4 linked regions of the Callithrix jacchus genome follow. The protein of the gene in region 2 interacts with the protein of the main gene of each other region in a pairwise test. Links are inferred from orthologs where the notes say so. Each region holds a gene or a part of one and is shown on either strand. Other genes may lie near its edges.

Evidence for each region.
Region 1: the proteins of TRIM54 (region 2) and SH2D1B interact in binary tests that used the Homo sapiens proteins (3 or more experiments, as listed by UniProt). The two-hybrid records come from large-scale screens. The link is inferred for Callithrix jacchus from reciprocal best matches to the Homo sapiens genes TRIM54 and SH2D1B.
Region 3: the proteins of TRIM54 (region 2) and AIRIM interact in binary tests that used the Homo sapiens proteins (3 or more experiments, as listed by UniProt). The two-hybrid records come from large-scale screens. The link is inferred for Callithrix jacchus from reciprocal best matches to the Homo sapiens genes TRIM54 and AIRIM.
Region 4: the proteins of TRIM54 (region 2) and OTUB2 interact in binary tests that used the Homo sapiens proteins (3 or more experiments, as listed by UniProt). The two-hybrid records come from large-scale screens. The link is inferred for Callithrix jacchus from reciprocal best matches to the Homo sapiens genes TRIM54 and OTUB2.

Annotation. Positions count from the first base shown.
Region 1 is NC_133519.1:39,150,212-39,155,643, reverse strand, and holds the start of SH2D1B (SH2 domain-containing protein 1B), read right to left. Parts: upstream 3,413-5,432; 5' UTR 3,293-3,412; coding exon 3,159-3,292; intron 1-3,158. UniProt on the Homo sapiens protein: Cytoplasmic adapter regulating receptors of the signaling lymphocytic activation molecule (SLAM) family such as CD84, SLAMF1, LY9 and CD244. In SLAM signaling seems to cooperate with SH2D1A/SAP.
Region 2 is NC_133515.1:87,713,842-87,718,159, reverse strand, and holds the end of TRIM54 (tripartite motif-containing protein 54), read left to right. Parts: intron 1-1,215; coding exon 1,216-1,311; intron 1,312-1,852; coding exon 1,853-2,086; intron 2,087-2,347; coding exon 2,348-2,370; intron 2,371-2,482; coding exon 2,483-2,607; intron 2,608-2,726; coding exon 2,727-2,818; 3' UTR 2,819-2,819; intron 2,820-3,106; 3' UTR 3,107-3,240; downstream 3,241-4,318. Other genes in the region: UCN (urocortin), read right to left, coding at 3,751-4,110. UniProt on the Homo sapiens protein: May bind and stabilize microtubules during myotubes formation.
Region 3 is NC_133508.1:74,245,763-74,251,175, forward strand, and holds the start of AIRIM (AFG2-interacting ribosome maturation factor), read right to left. Parts: upstream 3,413-5,413; 5' UTR 3,157-3,412; intron 2,741-3,156; exon of another isoform or gene 2,610-2,740; intron 1,697-2,609; exon of another isoform or gene 1,591-1,696; 5' UTR 1,486-1,590; exon of another isoform or gene 1,369-1,485; intron 1,064-1,368; 5' UTR 791-1,063; intron 673-790; exon of another isoform or gene 668-672; 5' UTR 665-667; coding exon 390-664; intron 1-389. Other genes in the region: CDCA8 (borealin), read left to right, coding at 3,850-3,943, 4,069-4,197. UniProt on the Homo sapiens protein: Part of the 55LCC heterohexameric ATPase complex which is chromatin-associated and promotes replisome proteostasis to maintain replication fork progression and genome stability.
Region 4 is NC_133509.1:128,846,847-128,852,442, reverse strand, and holds the start of OTUB2 (ubiquitin thioesterase OTUB2), read right to left. Parts: upstream 3,413-5,596; 5' UTR 3,213-3,412; coding exon 3,210-3,212; intron 1-3,209. UniProt on the Homo sapiens protein: Hydrolase that can remove conjugated ubiquitin from proteins in vitro and may therefore play an important regulatory role at the level of protein turnover by preventing degradation.

The DNA of each region.
Region 1 (5,432 bases), on a different chromosome or scaffold from region 2:
AGTGCACACTTATCTATATGATAATAAGTTTTTAACGGGGCTCTAGAAGGAGGTAGCTACAGGGGTCACTTGACCTGAACCTTAAGCCTGAGGGTGAATGAAATTTTGCTTGCCTTTCCGTGACATGCCTAGGGATGCAGGTGAGACCTGATCATGTGCAGGGGCTTAACAAATATTTATTTTTGCCTTTCCACTTGATTTATTATTTTTTCTTAGCATTTCTCAGTGATCTTTGCTTTGGATGAATATGCAAGCTGGGTTGATGCACCACAGAACAGTTGAGAATAAATATAAATTTTCAAAGAGAATCCCAATAGGCTGGGTGCAGTGGCTCATACCTGTAACCCCAGCACTTTGGGAGGCTGAGGTGGGCGATCACTTGGGCCCAGGAGCTTGAAATCAGCCTGGGCAACATAGCAAGATCCCATGTCTACAAAAAATTTAAAAATTAGCCAGGCACGGTAGTGTGCACCAGGAGTCCCAGATACTCAGAAGGGCTGAGACAGGATAATCTCTTGAACCCAGAAGGTCAAGGTTACAGTGAGCCATGATTATGCACTCCAGCCTGGGAGTTGGGGTGAGACCCTGTCTAAAGAAAAGAGAGAAAGAAAGAAAGAATGAAAGAAAGAAAGAAAGAACAAAAGAAAGAAAAAAAAAGGAAGGAAGGAAGGAAGGGAGGGAGGGAGGGAGGGAGGGAGGGAGGGAGGGAGGGAGGGAGGGAGGGAGGGAAGGAGGGAGAATCCCAATATTGACCGTATACCCTGAGATCCTGGCCAGTCTGTCCTTGCACCTTCTTTTTTCCCTTTTCGCTGCTTGCACCATCACAGCTAGCTCTTCACCATCTCCCATCCAGAGGCACAACAGTTTCTATTGCCATCATTTTCCAGCTTCACTGTGTTCTTCATGTCAGATTTAAGTTTCTAAATTCACTAGTCTTGTCACTTCTCCGCTCAAAAACCATCCATGTTTCCCCATTAGCTTTAGAACCACTCTTTTAAAACTACCTGATCTTATCCCATCCTCCTTCTCCAAAAGCTGGTTTCCAAATGACATTTTAGGAACCCTGTATGTACATACTTTAAAGTATCCAACTTCTAGACCACTGTTCCTACCTCCTCCCCTTCCTAAAGCACCTTCCATCCCATTTCTATGTAACCAGATCTTACCCACTCTTTATTTATTTGCTTATTTATTTTATTTTGAGACGGAAAGTCTCTCTGTCTCCCAGGCTGGATAGCAGTGGTGCCATCTCAGCTCACTGCATCCTCTGCCTCCCAGGTTCAAGCGATTCTCGTGCCTCAGCCTCCTGAGTAGCTGTGATACAGATACCCCCACCATGCCCAGCTAATCTTTGTATTTTTAGTAGAGATGAAGGTTTTATTATGTTGGCCAGGCTGGTCTTGAGCTCCTGACCTCAGTGATCTGCCCACCTCAGCCTCCCAAAGTGCTAGGATTATAGGCGTTAGCCACCGCTCCTAGCCAACATATATTTTTCTTTAAATGGTACTGTGGATGTAGGTATAAGAGAGATAGCCTGTCTCTCCAGTATCATTTACAGAAAGAAGTGTGTCCCAATGTATTCTATTAGTAAGGACAATCACTTTTGTCTGTAATCAGACTTCTGAGCCTACTCCATGGCCCATTTGTGTACTTCCTTGTAAAATCCAGTTTTAGCAAAGAACCCTACTAAGTCAGTTTGGCAAGGACACCTCGCCCTAGCTATCTGATCACTGTCAGGTTCTGATGAGATTCCTCCTCCTCCACCATCCCCCAGGCAACAACTGATCACCCTGGTCTGTCTTCAGCTACAATTCTGTTAGGCTGGCTTAGCCAGAATCCCCTTTACCCCTGATGTTTCCTCTGAGTAATTTTCTAGCCACTGATCCCACACTACTCCTTGGCCATAAATTCCCACTTGTCCGTGCTGTACTCAGAGTTGAGTCCAATCTTTCCTCTGCACTAAGAGCTCCTTGCAGTGGTCCCTATACCTATTGTGATGATCCTGAGTAAAGTCTTCCCAACCATGATTTAACAAATGACATAGAGTAATTTTTTTCTTTAACAAGAGACACCGGGGTTTCACTTTCTGTTACAGGTATAATAACAGGTTCAGTGGCCCCTACTTTACAAAGAGGAAAATACATCAAGATAGGAGGTTTCTAGTGATATCTGTTCAGATTTCTGTTTAGGATTGCTTTCTAAACTGGGCATAAGCAAGTTCCTTCCACTGGGTCTCTTTGATATTGTAGCCTGGAATTTCTTTTTTCTTTTTTTGAGGCAGGGTCTTACTCTGTTGCCCAGGCCAGAGTGCAGTGGTGCAATCTTGGCTCACTGCAGCCTCTGTCTCCTGGGTTCAAGAGATTCTCCTGCCTTGGCCTCTCAAGTAGCCAGTATTACAGGCACACGCCACCACACCAAGTTAATTTTTGTATTTTTGGTAGAGATGGGGTTTCACCGTGTTGGCCAGGCTAGTCTCGAACTCCTGACCTCAAGTGATCCCCCTGCCTCAGCCTCCCAAAGTGCAGGGACTACAGGCATGAGCCATGACACCCAGCCTGGAATTTCATATTTAACTTAGACTCTGGAAATTCCAAATTAGTTTTAACACAAATTATTTGAGAAACCAAGGTCTCTGTTTCTTTACCTATGAAATGGTGACTGCTTATGCTTACCTTGATAGACTACAAGAATGAAAGAAAATGACGAATATTGAAGTCCTTTACAAATCTAACAAAATGTGAAATATTATTAGGATTTATAGTTTAAGTATTGCAAGTGGATACTGCAGAATAAGTAGTCTTTCAGATTGAAATTTCTTTTAAAACCCCTAGCCTTTTCCATACCAAATAAACAGATCTCTGGAGAACAGTACCTTCTCTCCATCCCCCCGTACCCCTCTTCTTCAGCCCTTCCCTTCACCACCACCATATCCCTCCTGCTGCTGCAGAGTCTGCTTGCAGGCCTTTACACCAGGGAGAGCAAGGCAGATGGGGGAGCACGGACAGACACATGCCTCTCCTGGCACTGCTCATTATTTCTCACTTTATGCATTTTGACTGCAACATCAGAGTGAAACACTGAGGGATATGTATTCCTTTACTGTGCCTTTGCCGCATTCAATGTACGATGTCACATGTGTGCAAGATGAGGCTACTCACGAGACACAGAGGCACAGGACTCCTGGTATCGACTCGCTGTCTCTTAACAGAAAGTTGCCATCCACCCCTTCCTTGAGCAGCAAGGTTTCACAGTCTCGCTTGGTCAGAGGGCCGTGGTAGTAAGGAAGATCCATGGAGAACGCTCTTGTATCCCAGGCAGCCCTGTTGGCCTGAAATTCACCCCCAAGCCAAGGGACAGCTCTGAGGAGGGATGTGGAAGCAGTTGTGCCTCCTGTGGAAATAGCTCTGTCTCTAGTGATCTGTGAGACTCAACCAGCTTCATGAGATTCAGGAAATGAGAAGGGCGGGGTGATAAAATGACCAACACATTTTATCCTCTATGTGGCCCACATGTGACTCACAGAAAGGGGTAAAGCACATTTAAATACACAGTGGAATCAGTGAAGCTCATCGCTAGGGAGACAACGCTGAAGTCAAGCTCTCTGGAACTGCGTTGCAGCCTGTATATTACCATGTACTATCATCACCTTCTCTGGCTACTGGCATCCTGTGCAGGAAGCACAGCATCGCTTTTGCAGTAATGGTACCCATTCTCTGCTGAAGTTGCATAGGATTGGGCTATGCTTAGCGTAGACTGGGTGCTCAAAAAGCATTGGGATGCTGAGAGAATTGATATGCTCAGATACAGTGGGAAAATTGAAACGGTGGCATTTCCATGGATCAAATGACACCAAAAATGGAAGATATTAATGGGAATAGAAAACAGTGGGACACTGTGGATGAGGACAGCCCATTCCATGACTAAGGCTCCTAGCAACTGGCAAAAAAAAGCGCCATTTTTAACACCCTCAAGCATTGTACCTTTTGGAGAAAGGGCTGGTGCAGGTGGGAGGGTTAACTGGTATACTCAAATATCCACAGGAAATCACTATATATCTCAAAAATGAATCCATGAAAATGAAACTAAAATAGAAAAGATGAGTTCGTGACGTATCTTTATTTCACTTCTTCTTTTTCTTTTTCTTCATCTCTGTAGATACCTGGAATCTTAACTTCTTCTTAACCCAGATGTGTATTTCACATTGCTACTTTGCTTACCAGCTGTTTACTCACACTTGGGGTGTATCTTTCAGGAAACTTCCTTGTAACGGTCTTTGTTCTTCCTTGGAATTCCCACTCTTTGCTGTTTGGCATAGCGTAGTTTCACGGATCAAGGAACTTGTTATCAGAGAGAGCTGCTCTCAAATACCAACTTTTCTTCTGTGGTTTTGGACAATTCATTATTATATTTCCCTGGGAACTATGGCAGTTGAAGACAGAGTTATTAATGATGAAAGAAGAAATTCGGTAATTATTGGGAATACATTCACAATCATCGTGTGAAGATGTTTTTGACATAAAAGAGAAAATAACTGAAAGTATGCTCAGGCTCTTGGTTATCACAGGGGCTTGCTGGACCTTTTTCCTGTTTCAAAATTCAATCCTCAGAGTAAAAGAAATATAAATTAAATCCATGCTGAGAGAACATCTCTCACCTATCATATTGGTGAAAAAAATCAAAAATGTGAAAACTTACTGGATTGGTGATGGTGAAAGAAAATAGAACATCTTGTATCTTGGTTAGGATACAAAATAGTTACAACTATAGTAAAAGAGAGTTTGACAATGCCTTGCACATTTGTGTATGCCTTCACGATCTAATAGAACAATCTCAGTCTAGAAATCTATCACAAAACTACAGGCAGGATTAGAAAATAACTTGTGAATAAGGTAGTATTTTTAATCGAAAAAGATGACAAACAACTGAAAGACTTGTGAGTAGAGGGATAAGTGAATAAGCTGGGATTCATGTAAATAATGGAATATCACTATAGAATGATGAGATGAGGAAGATCTCTATATGCTGATATGTAATAATCTTCATGATGTATTTTTAGGTGAAAGCAGCAAGGTGCACAGTAGTATATAGAGTATGAGGGATATAAGTAAATATATACATTTATATATTGTTCATATATAGAAAACAAACGAAAAACAAAACCCACTGGAAGAACAAAACTGAAACTGATTAAAAAAAACAAAAAACTTCTGCCTCTAAGCAAATGGAGAAACCATATATAGAGGTGAGACTTCTCTAAGTAAAACTTGCTCTATAGGTTTTTGTTTTTTTGTTTGTTGAGACAAAGTCTCGCTCTGTTACTCAGTCTGGAGTGCAGTGGTGTGATCTCAGCTCACTGCAACCTCAGCCTCCTCAGTTCAAGCGATTCTCCCACCTCAGCCTCCCAGGTAGCTGGGACGACAGGCATGTGCCAC
Region 2 (4,318 bases):
GAGGCTGCAGTGAGCTGAGATCAAGCCACTGCACTCCAGCCTGGGTGACAGCGTGAGACCCTGTTTCAAAAAATATATATAAATAAATAAAATAAATCATTCAACAGATGGCTGGGCATGGTGCCTGGAACCTGTAAAACCCAGTGACTAGGGAGGCTGAGGCAGGAGGATACGGCCAGGAGTTCAAGACCAGCCTGGGCAATATAGTGAGACCACCATCTCTATAAAGTTTATTGTTTTAATTAGTTGGGAGTGGTGGCATGTGCCTGTAGTCTCACCTACTCAGGAGGCTAAGTTGAGAGGATCACCTGAGGGCAGAAGTTTGAGGATGCAGTGAACAACAATCATACCATTGCCCTCCAGCCTGAGTGACAGAGTGAGACTGTCTCTTAAAAAAAAATCAGGCCAGGCGCGGTGGCTCATGCCTGTAATTCCAGCACTTTGGGAAGCCAAGGGGAGCAGATCACCTGAGGTCAGGAGTTCAAGAACAGCCTGACCAACATGGAGAAACCCCATCTCTACTAAAAATACAAAATTAGCCAGGCATGGTGGCACATGCCTGTAATCCCAGCTACTTGGGAGGCTGAGGCAGTAGAATCGCTTGAACCCAGGAGGCAGAGTTTGCAGTGAACCGAGATCACACCATTGCACTCCAGCCTGGGCAACAAGAGCAAACTCCGTCTCAAAAAAAAAAAAAAAAGAAACAGATGAATTAAATGACCGCTTTGTCTGAAAACAGAACTAGTGAACAGCATGAGGGGACTGAAAAAAAAAACAAAACAAAACAGAATGTGTATCTCTGGGAGAGGAGAGGGTTGAGCGTGAGAATCAGATTTCCAGAATGAGAAGATAAAGAGAACAGAGAAGAGGCAATATTATGCAAATGGATAATCATCAAGAATTTCTTGCATCAGAATTGATGCAAGAAACGAATCTTCAGATAAAGCATCTAGCCCTGTGCCTGGCATCTGGTGGATGGAGACTGTCTGTTCCTTCCCACTTAGTGGTGGAGGGCTTCTTCTCTCCACCTCCTTCTAGAATCCCTAGAATGTGCTTCTGTACCTCCTGATAGTTCAAGTCTTCTAGAGGGCTGTAGATGCCCTCATGGTGGGTGGGGTGAAGGGGACAGCCCTCTTCTAGGCAACCCTGGCTGGGGTGAGGGGTGTAGCTCTAGACCAGGTCCCAGTTCTAAGTGCTGACCTGTTTGTGTGTCAGAGTGAGCTCAGCGATGGCATTGCGATGCTGGTGGCAGGCAATGACCGGGTGCAAGCAGTGATCACACAGATGGAGGAAGTGTGCCAGACCATCGAGGTGAGCCTGGGCTAGAGGGAGGGGGGAACAGCAACTGGCGGGTCTGCGGACCCCGGGCTTCCTTCCAGAAGAATTGCTGTGGCCAAACTGGTCTGAAAGTTTCTGGGGTCCTGAAAGTGGTGGGATGGGCTTTAGCCAGGCTGCTGGGTATGCATTCCAGCTTTGCCTCGAAACTTTAATCCAGTTATTTAACTTCTCTGTGCTTTGGTTTTGTTTAACCTCATAAAACAGTGATGATGATAATGGTACACCAGCTACCTCATGGGTTCTTTTTAAGAATTAAATGGAATAACGCAAGTAAAAACCAGGGCTAGGGATATAGACAGCACTCATTGAAGCTACTTTAAAACATTGTGTTTTTATTATAGAAGAGATCTGGGCTGGATTCTGGCTCAGCCACTAGCAGTGGCACTGTGGACGGGTCACTTTCTGTCTTGGTTCTCTGAGCTCCATCAAGTGGGGAGCAGGCCCAGTACCCTGGGATTTCCCAGCCACCGGGTCTCAGCCACGCCTTCCCTGGTCCTTGCTCCCCATCTTTCAGGACAATAGCCGGAGGCAGAAGCAGTTGTTAAACCAGAAGTTCGAGAGCCTGTGTGCAGTGTTGGAGGAGCGCAAGGGCGAGCTGCTGCAGGCACTGGCCCGGGAGCAAGAGGAGAAGCTGCAGCGTGTTCGTGGCCTCATCCGTCAGTACGGAGATCACCTGGAGGCCTCCTCTAAGCTGGTGGAGTCTGCCATACAGTCCATGGAAGAGCCACAGATGGCGCTCTACCTCCAGGTGGGCTCTAGGGGAGGGTGGCAGTGCTGCAGAGTGGCTGGAGTCGGGGCCTTGGCACCTGGACATCCAGGTTCAAGTCTTGTCTCTTGGACCTGCCTTGCCCCTACCACCTTGGGCAATTCACCCCCTCTGAGTTCATTTTCTCCTTAATGAAATGGGATGTACCTTCCCACCTACCCTGCAGGACTGTGGTGAGAAAGAAATGGGACTTAGCCCAGGTTGGCCCAGTGCTTACTCTCACCCTCCTTTTCTCCCCTGCAGCAGGCCAAGGAGCTGATCAATAAGTGAGTAGGCACAGCGGGAAGGGAAAGGAGGGGGCTGCGCTGCTCCACTGGCTGGGGGAGGGGCTTGAGGGTGCTGGGGCATTGCCAGTTGAGCCCAGTGTGGTTGCTGCAGGGTCGGGGCTATGTCGAAGGTGGAACTGGCAGGGCGGCCAGAGCCAGGCTATGAGAGCATGGAGCCATTCACCGTGAGCGTAGAGCACGTGGCCGAAATGCTGCGGACCATCGACTTCCAGCCGGGTGAGGGAGATGGCCAAGGGCCACCGGGACTGGGGTTCCGACCCTCCATGTGGGGGCAAGGCGGGCAAAATGGCAGGAAAGGCAGGGACTCCACCTCACCAGGCCTTCCTTGGGCCCAGGCACTTCCGGAGAGGAAGAAGATGAGGAAGTGGCCCTGGACGGAGACGAGGGCACTGCGGGGCCGGAGGAAGGGCGGCCGGATGGGCCTTAAGGTGAGTGTCCTGAGGGACTTGAAATGGGGCCTGGCTGGTGCACTCATGTCCCCTCCCCCGGTTACTGTCCCCCAATCCTCGGTACCACCCTACCCCGGAGCCACAAAGGTGCATCCCCCAGGGCGGAAAAGCACACTTCCTCCACCCCCACCGTACCTCCGGGTTACTGGGAGGGCAAGCAGAGTTGGCTGAGTAGAGGAGAAACCCACGTGGCGGGCGACCGAGTGAGCTGGGCTCGAGCTGCCTCGCGCCTTCTCAGCACCTGCTCACTAAGCCTTCTTTCCCAGGCACAGGTCTGCGCCGACCCGACTCTGGTCAAGAGCCTGCGCTAGGGTCGGGGAGGATCTGCGCAGAGACCGCAGAGTAGCCCAGCTCGGCGCCCGCCCCGGGAGGATCTTAATAAAGAACTCGAGCTCCCAGACCCGTATCTCCTTTCGCTGCCCAATCCCTCAGCTTCGGCTTTGGAGGCGACCCGCCACCATTCTGCCCTTCCTGGAACCTGAGACCGTTTGGGCGGGTGGAAGCCAAATGAACCCTTTTTGGGCACCTCCGTGATGCCAGGAGAGAACTGGTGAGCCCAGCACCCTTGGAAGAGGGTTGAGGGCAAGGCGGTGGTGCCGGGACCTGAGGTCCTGGGGATTTGGGGAGCCCTGGGGTCCACAGGCACCTGGCTGACCTGGCTGAAAGCCGCTCTCCCGGAGCCCCCCTCCCCCGCGCATCCTGTTCCCTTCCAGCTGGCTAGGGGGCCCCACCTTCCCACAGGTTCCCACCCTGCTGTGACTGCCGCCCCCCCAACAACAGAAGCCAACAGCTCTTCAGCACTTTTATTAAAAAATAGCCACGCAGAGAATGCTCTGGTGGCTCTGCCCCGCGTCCCAACCCTGAGGTGGGGGAAAGGGGTCAAAGTTTTCGCGGCCCCAAACCAGGCCCATCACTTGCCCACCGAGTCGAATATGATGCGGTTCTGCTCGGCGCGCTCCCGCTGGCTTTGCGTCCGCGCCAGCTCCAGCAGGGTCCGCAGCAGGTGAAAGGTGAGGTCAATGGACAGAGGAGGGTTGTCACGCCGCAGCCGATCCCCTGTCATCCCGAGCCCCGCGCGGCGCGGGAAGCGCTCCGCTAGCAGCAAGAGGAGCGCGCGGGCTCCGCCGCCCTGCTTCCGCGCCTCGGGGCTCCAGCGCAGACTCGGGTCCTGGACCCCAGCCACCTCGGGGCTCTTCTGGCTGCTCCCAGGGCGCAGATGTACTAGGAGCAGCAGCGCAGCCAGCAGCGCCGCGCGTCCCGCCTGCCTCATGGTGCCGCCGGCCCTGGACACACAGGGGCAGCGCAGGGTGAGATGCGCCTGGGGCAGCCGCAGGGGGCCGCTCCCCACCCCGCACTGGCCAGGCAGGTGCTGGGGGCGGCTCCCCTCCCCGCGCTCGCCCGGTGACCCCCGGCGGTTCCGCCGGAACAATGCCCGCAGGCGGCCCTCCAGCCCCAGCGGCTGCGCCAGTGCTGTTCCA
Region 3 (5,413 bases), on a different chromosome or scaffold from region 2:
AAGTGCAGTTAAGTCAGAGATATGTTGAAGAGACTTTATGATGTAATATATGTAAAACCCTTAGCTCTGGCACCTACTAAGTTTATACAGCTCCTCACTGCCTTTTACCAAAGAAAAGTATAGGGGAGAGCTAATACACTTTCTCTGCTCCTTTTCTGTTCTTTTGTGACTTCTACTAAGCCCACCACTACCATGCCTAGTCTCTGACAAGGAAAATACCAGAAAATGGCTTTCTGATAGAGGTCTCGCTGCCCCAGATGGAAAGTAAGGAAGGTTGAGATACCTCCAAATGTCATGCTCTCAAGGAGAAAAGCACCTTCTAGACTGATCTTAGCTACATATAAAACACCTCATTTTAAAATCCTTCCACCAAGAAAGGAGCTGCTTACAGCCTTTCCCCTAGCTTGTCCAGGACGATGTCACCAGCCGCCAGCTGCTTGCGCCTCAATCGCTCTTTTAAGTCTGGGAAGGTCCGAAGCGCCGGCATATCCTCAAACCTCAGGTTCCGTGCGGCCTGCAGCTGCTCCGCCAGGTTGCTAAGGGAGACCAGGAGGGGCTGGCAGTCTAGCAGGGCGCTCTGCCACAGGCCCTGCTGCTCCTCCACCACGGGGAAGCACTTCTTCAGGGCCTCCTGCACGGCAACCAGAGGCTGGTCTTGAGTCATCTTCTGTTGAAAAAGATAAAAACATAAAGAAAATAACCATGTAGGGATGCCAAGTCAGTCGGGGAGGCACTGGGTCGAGGGTGGGCGGTCATCTCCATGCTCGTGTTTGGACAGGAGTTGTCTCACCTCCAGAAGTGGCTTCTTTTTTTTAGATGGAGTCTCACTCCATCTCCCAGGCTGGAGTGCAGTGGCACGATCTCGGCTCACTGCAACCTCCACCTTCCAAGTTCAAGCGATTCTCCTGCCTCAGCCTTCAGAGTAGCTGGGATTACAGGTGCCTGCCGGCCGGGCACAGTAGCTCACGCCTGTAATCCCAGCACTTTGGGAGGCCGAGGCGGGTGGATCACGAGGTCAACCGATCAAGACCATCCTGGTCAAAATGGTGAAACCCTGTCTCTACTAAAGATACAAAAAAAAAAAAAAAAAAAAAATTAGCTGGGCATGGTGGTACGTGCCTGTAATCCTAGCTACTTGGGAGGCTGAGGCAGGAGAATTGCCTGAACCCAGGAGGCGGAGGTTGCAGTGAGCCGAGATCGCGCCATTGCACTCCAGCCTGGGTAACGAGCGAAACTCCATCTCAAAATAAATAAATAAACAAACAAACAAACAAATAAATAAATACAGGTGCCTGCCACCATGCCCAGCTAATTTTTGTATTTTTAGTAGAGACGAGATTTCGCCATGGTGGCCAGACTGGTCTTGAACTCCTGAACCGCCCGCCTCGGCCTCCCAAAGTGCTGGGATTACAGGATTGAGCCACCGCGTCAGGCCCTGCCTCAGCTTTGTGAAGGAGATCCTGGCTTTCCCTCGGGAAGGGTTACCTGGATAGGGCACTCTCCTACTTCAGAGGATTCCCAGCATCCAAGCGCCGTCTATTCTCTAACCCAGAGGCCAGTCTCCCCTGCCCGAGGCTGCCGGTTGCCTTCCTGAAACCAGCAGAGACAGCCAAAGTGTGAGAACACTCCAGACCTGCACACGCACCCGTAGTCTGTCTGCATGTGCTCAAACACGAACATCTCCCAAAGCTCCTCTAGCCTGCAGGGCTACTGCGTCGCGAAAATATATCGTGTTGCCACAATGACTTCTGGGTACTGTAGTCCCACATGTGGATTGGCCACTTGGCTTGAAGTTTCCTTGGGATGTTGCAGCCGTCCCAACACGGCAACTTCTCATTTGTCAGCCTGCAGCAGTTTAAATTAGTGGCGGTGTTACCACATCCTATTAGCTAAGAGTCACTTCCTCTAAGCTTGCGCCTCCGGCTATGTCTTAATGACACATTTCACAATGTTTGTGGCACAGCCAACTGGCAAAAACTAGTGAATCAGGGGCTCCTGACGTGGCAGCTCTAGCTAAGATGCAGGGTGATGTCCTAGGTGCCCAGGGAAGTCGGGCGCATTGGGGAGTGGAGTGAGAGAAGCGCTGAAACCAAGAGGCTGGAAGCCAGACTTGCCCAGCATAAAAACACCTGCTGGGGGGAGCCTGCATGAGGTACCGGTTGTCATCCCCTCTCATCTTGGCCATCTGCCTGATGAAGATTCTCAGGCACCCAGCAGACTGGAGTGTCACCCCCATCACCCACTGCCCAGGGCTGACCTCGGGCGGAAGAGTGACATTCAAATACTTGTTGCATATGGAGCAACAGGACAGGCTGGAAGGGAGAGAAAGGACTCTCCCTGGCAAGAGGAAGGGCCAGGCTTGCCAGGGCTCCTATGTTCCACCTGCTGTGTCTCCAAGCTCGCTGGTGCCTATCAGGAGCCTGCTTGGCACCTTTGCTTATTTCCTCGATTGTTCCTGAACTCAGAGGGGGAGAGGGAAGATTATCACCCCTACAGTCTATAAAATGCACACTTAAACACAAACACAACCCCTCTGACATGGCTTCAGACCGCATCCACAGGTGAAAAGCACCAAATCCAATCATACCACAAACCCATCAAGAGCTCACCAGTCTGGCTGTCCGGCTGCCACCCGCCTTGAGACTCAGCCTGAGCTATCGCTCTGATCCCTGGAGACTTCAAGACTAGCCTCTAGCCTTGCTGGGCCTCAGCACAACCCCCGATCAATCCAACCCTGTGGCTGTGGACAGATGCCAAGATACACAGTTAGCACCTCCGACTGTACCGCGGCTCGGCCGGGCTCGCCGTCTACACGTCCATTCCCAGGCCCACGGCCTCGACACCCAGGGCTGCCTCCTGCCTTGGGCTCCCTGGAGTCTAGCGGCCGCGGCTCCTACTGCAGTCACCGGACAGCCAGCTGCCAAGCGCCACTACTGCACCTGAAGTCGCGACCCCGCACTCCGCACCCAGTCGAGGCGCCGAGATGTTAACTGGGCAGGAGGGTCCAGCCCGCGGGCGACCGAGGAACGAGAGGGTTCCCCCCACTCGCTGCCCAGACTGGCCGGGCTGGCGCGCCCACCCCAAAGCCTGCACCCCCCGCCCCCTTCCAAACACTGCTGAGTGGGGCTGCTGTGTCTCCGCCGACCCTCCACTTGCCCGAAGTTCCCTCCACTTTTCCGAAGTTCGGCCTGGGGTGCTTGGGGCCCTGAGGAGCGCAGAGGTAGACAGACAGCCAGTCAGTAGTCAGTCAATCAGTGGGTCACGGCGGCCCTCGGCTACTCAGCTGCAACCAGGCCAGAAAGAAGCAGCCTCCTAAAGTGCTGGGATTCCCGGCTTCCAAGCGGGCCCCCGTCGTCCTGGTCGGCCCTCAGCCCTCCAGAGCTTACAGTGTCGAGGTGCCGTCGCAAGGCCTGCCGGGAATAGTAGTTAATATCGTTTGCAGCTGGCCAGGGCGGAGCCGGGTGGGCGTGGAGAGGGCGGGGAAACTATCTTGAACCACAACTCCCAGGAGCACTCGCGACGGCGGTGGCCGCGCTGACGTACTCAGGCTGTAGAGGGCGCATTGGGCTGGAGACCCCGGGCCGGCAAGAACTTGCTTGTGATTGGATGTTGTGGGACGGCGGCTTCTCATTCGTCAGCCTGTGGCCGTGGAGTTTGAATTGGGTGGCGGTTGGCGGTAGAGCCGCTTTCTCACAGGCACCGGGAGGTTTTGATCAGCCCTTGTCTCGGGACTGCAGGTACGTGCCTGGCGACTTCTTCGGGTGGCATTTGTCCGCCTTTCTCGTGCCTACCCGGTTCCTTGCCTCCCTGCCCCATCTCTGCCGCTACCCGCAGCCTCCGCCGAGCGCCATGGCTCCTAGGAAGGGCAGCAGTCGGGTGGCCAAAACCAACTCCTTACGGAAGCGGAAGCTCGCCTCCTTTCTGAAAGACTTCGACCGTGAAGGTAAGGAAGGGGCCGGGCAGTCGCGGCTTCCTGGGGCAGTCGCGGGATGCTGGCGGGTGGGGACACGAGCAGCACCTATTCACCCGCCCCGTGACCCGTGTCCCGTCGGCTCTGCCCTCCCGCAGTGGAAATACGAATCAAGCAGATTGAGTCAGACAGGCAGAACCTCCTCAAGGAGGTGGATAACCTGTACAACATCGAGATCCTGCGACTCCCCAAGGCGCTGCGCGAGATGAACTGGCTCGACTACTTCGGTAAGAGCTGCAGCCCCTTGGGGTTAGGTGACACCCTTCAGAAAGGGCTCGCTCGGATGTCACCTTTTAATGAGATCTGACATGAGCACTTATGGAAAATGGCAGACCTACTGTTCCCCTTCACTCTCTGTCTCACTTCCCTACTTCATTTTTCTCCATGCTTTTCTCTAAAGGTCTAGCTAGCAAATATTTTAGTCCACTGGTGCGGGGGTCGATGGGGGTCTCTGTCAGACTACTCAACTCTGTGATATGTGATACAGTTCCAAAACAGCTGTAGTGAATGGGCATGGATGGGCTGTATTGCAATAAAATTTTAGTTACGGATACACTGAAATGTGAATTTCACATAATTTTTCCACATCAGGAAATAGTATTTTTTTTAATTTATTTTTTAGACAGAGCCTCAGTCTATCATCCAGGCTGGAGTGCAGTGCAGTGGCGCGATCTTGGCTCACTGCAACTTCCACCTCCCAGGTTCAAGTATAACCTCCACCTTCTGGGTTCAAGTGATTCTCCTGCCTCAGCCTGTGGAGTAGCTGGGATTACTGGCGCTCGCCACCACACTCGGCTGATTTTTGTATTTTCAGTAGAAACGGGGTTTCACCATGTTGACCAGACTGGTCTTGAACTCCCGACCTCAAGCCTGCCTCTGCCTCCCAAAGTGTGGGATTACAGGCGTCAGCCACTGTGCCCGGCCAGGAAATAGTATTTTTAAAAAATATATGCCAATTTTGGCCACAGGGTTGTGGGGGGTGTGGCTCACGCCTGTAATCTCAGCACTTTGGGAGGCTGAGGTGGGCGGATCACAAGGTCAGGAGTTCAGGACCAGCCTAGCCAATACGATGAAACCCTGTCTCTACTAAAAAATACAAAAATTAGCTGGGCATGGTGGCAGGTGGCTGTAGTCCCAGCTACTCAGAAGGCTGACACAGGAGAATCGCTTGAACCCAGGAGGCGGAGGTTGCAGTGAGCCGAAATCACTCCACTGCACACCAGCCTGGGTGACAGAGCAAGATTCTGTCTCAAAAAAAATAAAAACAAAAACCATATAAATATATGTATATTTTACCCAACCCATGTAAAAATGAATAAATGATGTGGTTAGTTAACCAGAGCTCAGAAAGAAGAATAAGGTAGCAATTTCCATAAGCTGCAGAAGAACCCGAAGCAGCTTCTTCTGCAGCTTATGGAAATTGCTACCTTAAAAATGGACACA
Region 4 (5,596 bases), on a different chromosome or scaffold from region 2:
CCATGCTCCAGAAATGTATAGAGTGTTACAGGTTGAACTGTGTCCCCCTTCCACAAATTCTTATGCAGAATTCCTAATCCTCGGTACCTCAGAATGTGGTTTTATTTGGAAATAGGGTCATTGCAGCTGTAATGAGCTGAGATGAGGTCATTCTGGAGTAGGGTGGCCCCCATCCAATCTGACTGGTGTCCTTACAGAAAGAGAAACCTGGGACACAGACCCATACACAGGAAGCACGCCACATGAAGGTAAGAGTTCGGCAGCCACAAGCCAAGGAGGTTGGAGCGGGGCCTGGAACAGAACCTTCCTAGCACCTTCAGAGGGAGCGTGGCCCTGCTGCCATCTTGGTCTTGAGCTTCCAGCCTCTGGCACCGTAAGAATCCATTTCTGTTGCTCTACACTGCAGTTTGTGGTACTTTAAGGCAGCCCAGGAAGCTCACACTGTGTGAATGAATGGGCGGATGCATGCATGGGATTAGCTGGGCTCTGGCTCCAGCCTGGCTCCCTTCAACCCTGTGTCCACTTCACTGTCAGAGAGAGCATCCAAGTCAGCCACCTCCTACTTGTCAAAAATATGTTATGGTTTCCCCCTCATTGGTGGAATAAAACCCAAACCCCACAGCACAGCAGTGAGGCTCTGCACAGACCATCCTGACCCCACCAAATTTTCTAGACTCAATTTCCCTGCCTCCCTTAATCTCCTTGCATCTTCAGAGGCTGTTTACCCTTGCCAAAATCCCCCATTCTTGACCATCCTTCAAGGCCTGATAGCCCACTGTCCCTTCACGCCGCACCCCCAGTAGGAATGTACCCTTCCCAAATCCTCTTGAACACTCGTGTACATCCTTCAACCCAGCTCCAAAGACCTCCTCTGCAAAACCTTCTGACACCCCTACTCCCTCAGAGCATACTGACTTCTCACTGTGTTCCAAAGTCCTTAGGTCTCTTAGGCATGACCTATAGCTCAGACACTGCTTGTGTCCAGCTGTCTTGGCCAGCAGGCAGTGAGCTCCCAGAGCGGGCAGGCACCTTGTCTCTCTCATCTGTCACAGTGCCCAGCACAGGCCTGACAAAGGTGCCCACTGGAGGCCTGTTTGACAAATGACAGAACAAAGCCCAATAGGATTCTGTGGTTTTCCTGCTTATGTCTGACTCATTCATTCACCAAACATGAAATGCACCTTGAGTGCACGAGACCCTGTGCTATTTGCAGTCTCTGCCAGAGGCCTGGTCCTTGTCTCACCCCTGCCTTCCAAGAGGCTTTGTGTCTTCCATGGGGGCCCTTCCTCAAGCTTAGCCCAGTGATGTAGAAACAGGAAAGCAAAGGATATGCTGTATTTTCCAAGGATATTTCTTCTGTCCACCACACACACACACACACACACAGACACACACTCACTCACCACCATCCACACCATGCAGGCTCAACATAAAAACCCACCATGAAGCACAGAGCCACCATATGCCCTAGGTGGCTCAATAAATGCCATGTGAAGGGAAGGAAACAGACCCTGCATGGCTTCCACCCCCGTGATTCCCAGACAGACGTCCTATTTTAGTGGATTAACCACTATATCCATCTCCAAGGCACCCAAGCCTCGAGTGAGGGCTGAGGGCTTTGGACCCCATCTTCCCTCTAACTTCCGGTCTCCCAAGTCAGGGCAGATGGGGGCAGAGTGAGCAGCCTCACTGCATGGCACAGAGAGCAGCTATGGCCTCTGCTGTGCTCTCAGCTGCTGAGTGGTGGCCAGAGGGCATGCCAGTCTCCAGCTCCAGGTGGCTAAGCCGATCATTACCCCAGCCCAACCACTCCCTGGTGAGTGATGCAGAAACATCTGGGCTGCCTTCCAGAAGCAGCACTACCAGGTAAACCCTTGGGCAGCAGGTAGAAGCAGGAAGCTGGTGCTTCCAGATGCCCCAGAGGCCCCCAGCCATGCCCCAGCAGTAGGCTGGCTTGGCCAGGACATCCCCAGCTTGAGTGCACTGGCTGCCTAAGCCACACCCAGATCGTGCCAGGCCATGACCAGGCTTTGACCCATGCCCCCGTCTGGCAGCATCCTGCTGAGATGACCCATTTTCCTGCCCAGGCATAGGTGAGAGGAGGCCAAGCTTGAAGAACCAGGGATCTATGCACACCCATTTCCGGGACTCTGTTGCCACAGGAAAAGCCCCGGCTAATCATCTCACAAGGTCCCCCAGCAGCCCATCACACAGATGTGTAAAACCGTGCTGAGGGAGAGAGCAGACCGACCAAAGCCTCCTTGTTTTCCAAGAGGTGGAACCGAGACTTGAACCCCGGGCTATGTGGACCCAACTCAAGCCACCCAGCCCTCACTCCACAGGCTCCCTGTAGAGGGGGGCCTGCTCAGGGTTGAAGGGTCTTAGGCAACCATCCCACCCAGTCCCCTATAAGATGCCTGACCCCACAGCAACCTGGAAGGTGAACTGATGTAACTCAAAGAGCACTGAACTGAGAGTCCAGAGGTCTGGGTTCAAGTCCCGGGTCCACCACAATCAGTACCAGCCCTTCCCTGCCTGGCCTCAGTTTCCCCACCTGCCCAAGACCAGGGTTAGCCTGGCTCAGAGGGTCTCTGGCCCCGTTCTGCGCAGACAGGGCTCTCCATCAGGGATTCCCGAGTGTTTGCTTTTCCCCTACCAGTAACTCATGCATCTCACAACTTGAGGCAGCCTCTCCACGTGGGTCCTGACTCCAAAGATGGAGACCGTCCAGCTGCCCACCAGGACAAGCAACTTGGTCCCCCTTGCAACTCCTAGATCCTCTCGTGGGGTTGGGGCAGGGGCCGAGCCCTCGGGTGGGTGGGGCCGTGGGCTGCTGACTGGGGGGCTACTTAACTAAGACGAGGCGACCCGTAGCGCTGCAGCCTCCCTGTCCCCGCTCCCGTCGAGGGTTCCCACCCAGCGCCGTCGGGGCGGCGCCCCGGGCCACCTGGGGCGGACACGCTGGGGGCGGGGACTCGGGACCAAGCTGGACCTCCTCAGCTGCGCGTCCACGGGGGACAGGGGGGCGCAACCTGGCCCCCAGCATCCGTCCAGACTTTGTTTTTCAGGGGGTCGGAAGGCGGCGGGGGCGGGTGGGGGTCTGAAACTCGCTCCCAAACCCTGTCCCGCGGGTGCTCCTGCCATGGCGGCGACCCCGCCCACTGCGCCCCCTGTCCGCTCCCCCTTCGCGATTCCCCAAGATCACTGACCATAGTGACTGGAGCCGCCGGGCTAGGTCCGGCTCCAGCGAGAAGCGATCCGGTGCGGGAGGTGCTGCTGCTGGCGCGGGCGGGCTCCGCCGCTGGGTCGGGTGGCGGAGACCTCGAGGGCGTGGGGGCAGCGGAGAATACACCCGACCGCTCCGCAAACCAAAGGTTAGACCTCCACTGTGTCCCAGCAAGACACACGCCCCGCGATTGACGTCGCAGGAGAGCAATCAGGAGCCGGGTCGCACGACGTCACAGAAAGTGGGTGGGACTTCACGCTCTTTCAGCCTATGCTTTAGAGTCCATTTGACAGGATGCCTCCCCCTTTTAAAGACACAGAAAGCTTTTAACTAGCCGAGGAGTTAGCTCAACCCAGAAAGACAGGTCCTTGTTTGTAAAGGCTGAAGGGCTTTTGAGGAAACCGAAAATTGGAGTCTTTGGAAGGATTAGCTGGCCCTCATTAATTCATAAACAAGGTCACATAAGTATAGTTTGCACAAGATCAGAGGATAGTCGCTATGGGAACACGTGTCCAATAACATTAAGTGTGGCTTCTATATAATATTTTACCGCCTTCCAACTCATGAATCAGTAGGTTGCCACGCACCCAATTAATGTTTGTTGAATGAATAAATGTCCCGGATCGTCGACTCTGTGGTAGGGATATCCATGAACCAGGTCTAGATGACTCACCTTGCGTACAAGCTCATTATTACTGGACATCAAAATAGGAATATTTATCATTCAAAGATTCATTCACCAGCCCTTGAGTCCCGGAGGAGCTGCTTTGGGTGTGGGAGGGAGAGTTTGTAGGGGAGGTGGACTCAATGCACTGCATGCATCCACTTTAGAATATTAATATTTCCAGGAGGGTGTATTGAGCAATTCCCCTTCCTACTGCTGCCCCACCACCACCACTGCCCCACTTTACTCGGTAAGCCCCAGGCACCGGGCTAGGCTCTAGGCAAACAGACATCTGAAACCATGTATCATGTCCTGGGTAGGGAGTGTGGAGTTAATGGAGGATCCAGGCGCAGTAACAATAACAGCTAACTTTTTACAGTTGTTTATACCGTTATGCAGAAAACTTACTATATATCAGGCGCTATCTCCACAGAACTGGAGAACTGAACTCTCCACAGAATTATTATTATTATTATTTAGATGGAGTCTCTGCTCTGCCGCCAGGCTGGAGTGCAGTGGCAGCGATCTCAGCTCACTGCAACCTCCGCCTCCCAGGTTCCTGGGATTCTCCTGCCTCAGCCTTTCAAGTAGCTGGGACTACAGGCGCATGCCACCACGCCCAGCTAATTTTTGTATTTTTAGTAGAGACAGGGTTTCACCATGTTGGCCAAGATGGTCTCAATCTCTTGACCTCGTGATCTGCCCACCTCGGCCTCCCAAAGTGCTGGGATTACAGGCGTGAGCCGCCGCGCCCGGGCCAGAATTATCTTACTTAATTTCCTCACAACTAGTTTATGGGGGTAGGGATTGTTAATATTATCCCTATTGTACGATGAGGAAACAGGTACAGAGAGTTAAGTTCCTTGCCTAAGTCCACACAGCACTCAAGTGGGATTCAGTCCCAGGCAGTGCAGTGTGACTCCAGAGCTGGTTTTGAATTCACTCTGCAGGAGACAACAGGGGCTGTGTTACCCACCCCTGCCCTTGACCTCCGTTTGCTTTCGGAGGGTTTCTGCTTTTTTTTTGCTTTTTTTTTTTTCAGCCAAGGAAGCCAGAAAGGTGACAGGGGCAGCCCAGTGTTGCTGAGCTAAGAAGTGGCCTGGCTGGGCTGGATCCCCAGATTCCTGACTCCCCGACCACTACTCATTCCAGAGGATGTTAGGCTTCCCTCTGTGGAGGACTGGCTGAGCCACGTTCCATGGTGTCTGGGTGCAGGTATGAGTGAAGAGTTTCTGGCCAAGGCTTCAATGAGCCCTCAAGTTGGGCTACACTAAGCCCTGAGCCCTGGGCCCGCTCTCCGCCCTTCCTCAGGTCCCAGCAGTTCCAAACCAAGCCAGCACTGAAGTGTGGAAGGAGCACGGGGCTGGATTCCCTGAGAGATTCTGGGCCCCTGGCTCTGGGCTCTGCCACTCACTGCTTTGTGGCCCCAGGCAATGCCCGGGCCCTCTCCAGTCTTCGGGTTCCTCACTCAGTGAGAGGATTAGACAATCTAGGTGGTTAAAAATGTTTAAAAAAATATTTTTAGTAATGAAGGCTTTAAACACACACACAGACACACACACACACACACACACACACACACATACAATCTTACAAGCATCTCAGTGTATGTATAATAGAATATTTCCTCAAATTTAGCTCAATTAGCAGGGAAAATGTAATTTTAGTCTAACTAATCAGGATTCTTCTTAAGCTCTCTGAAGCCT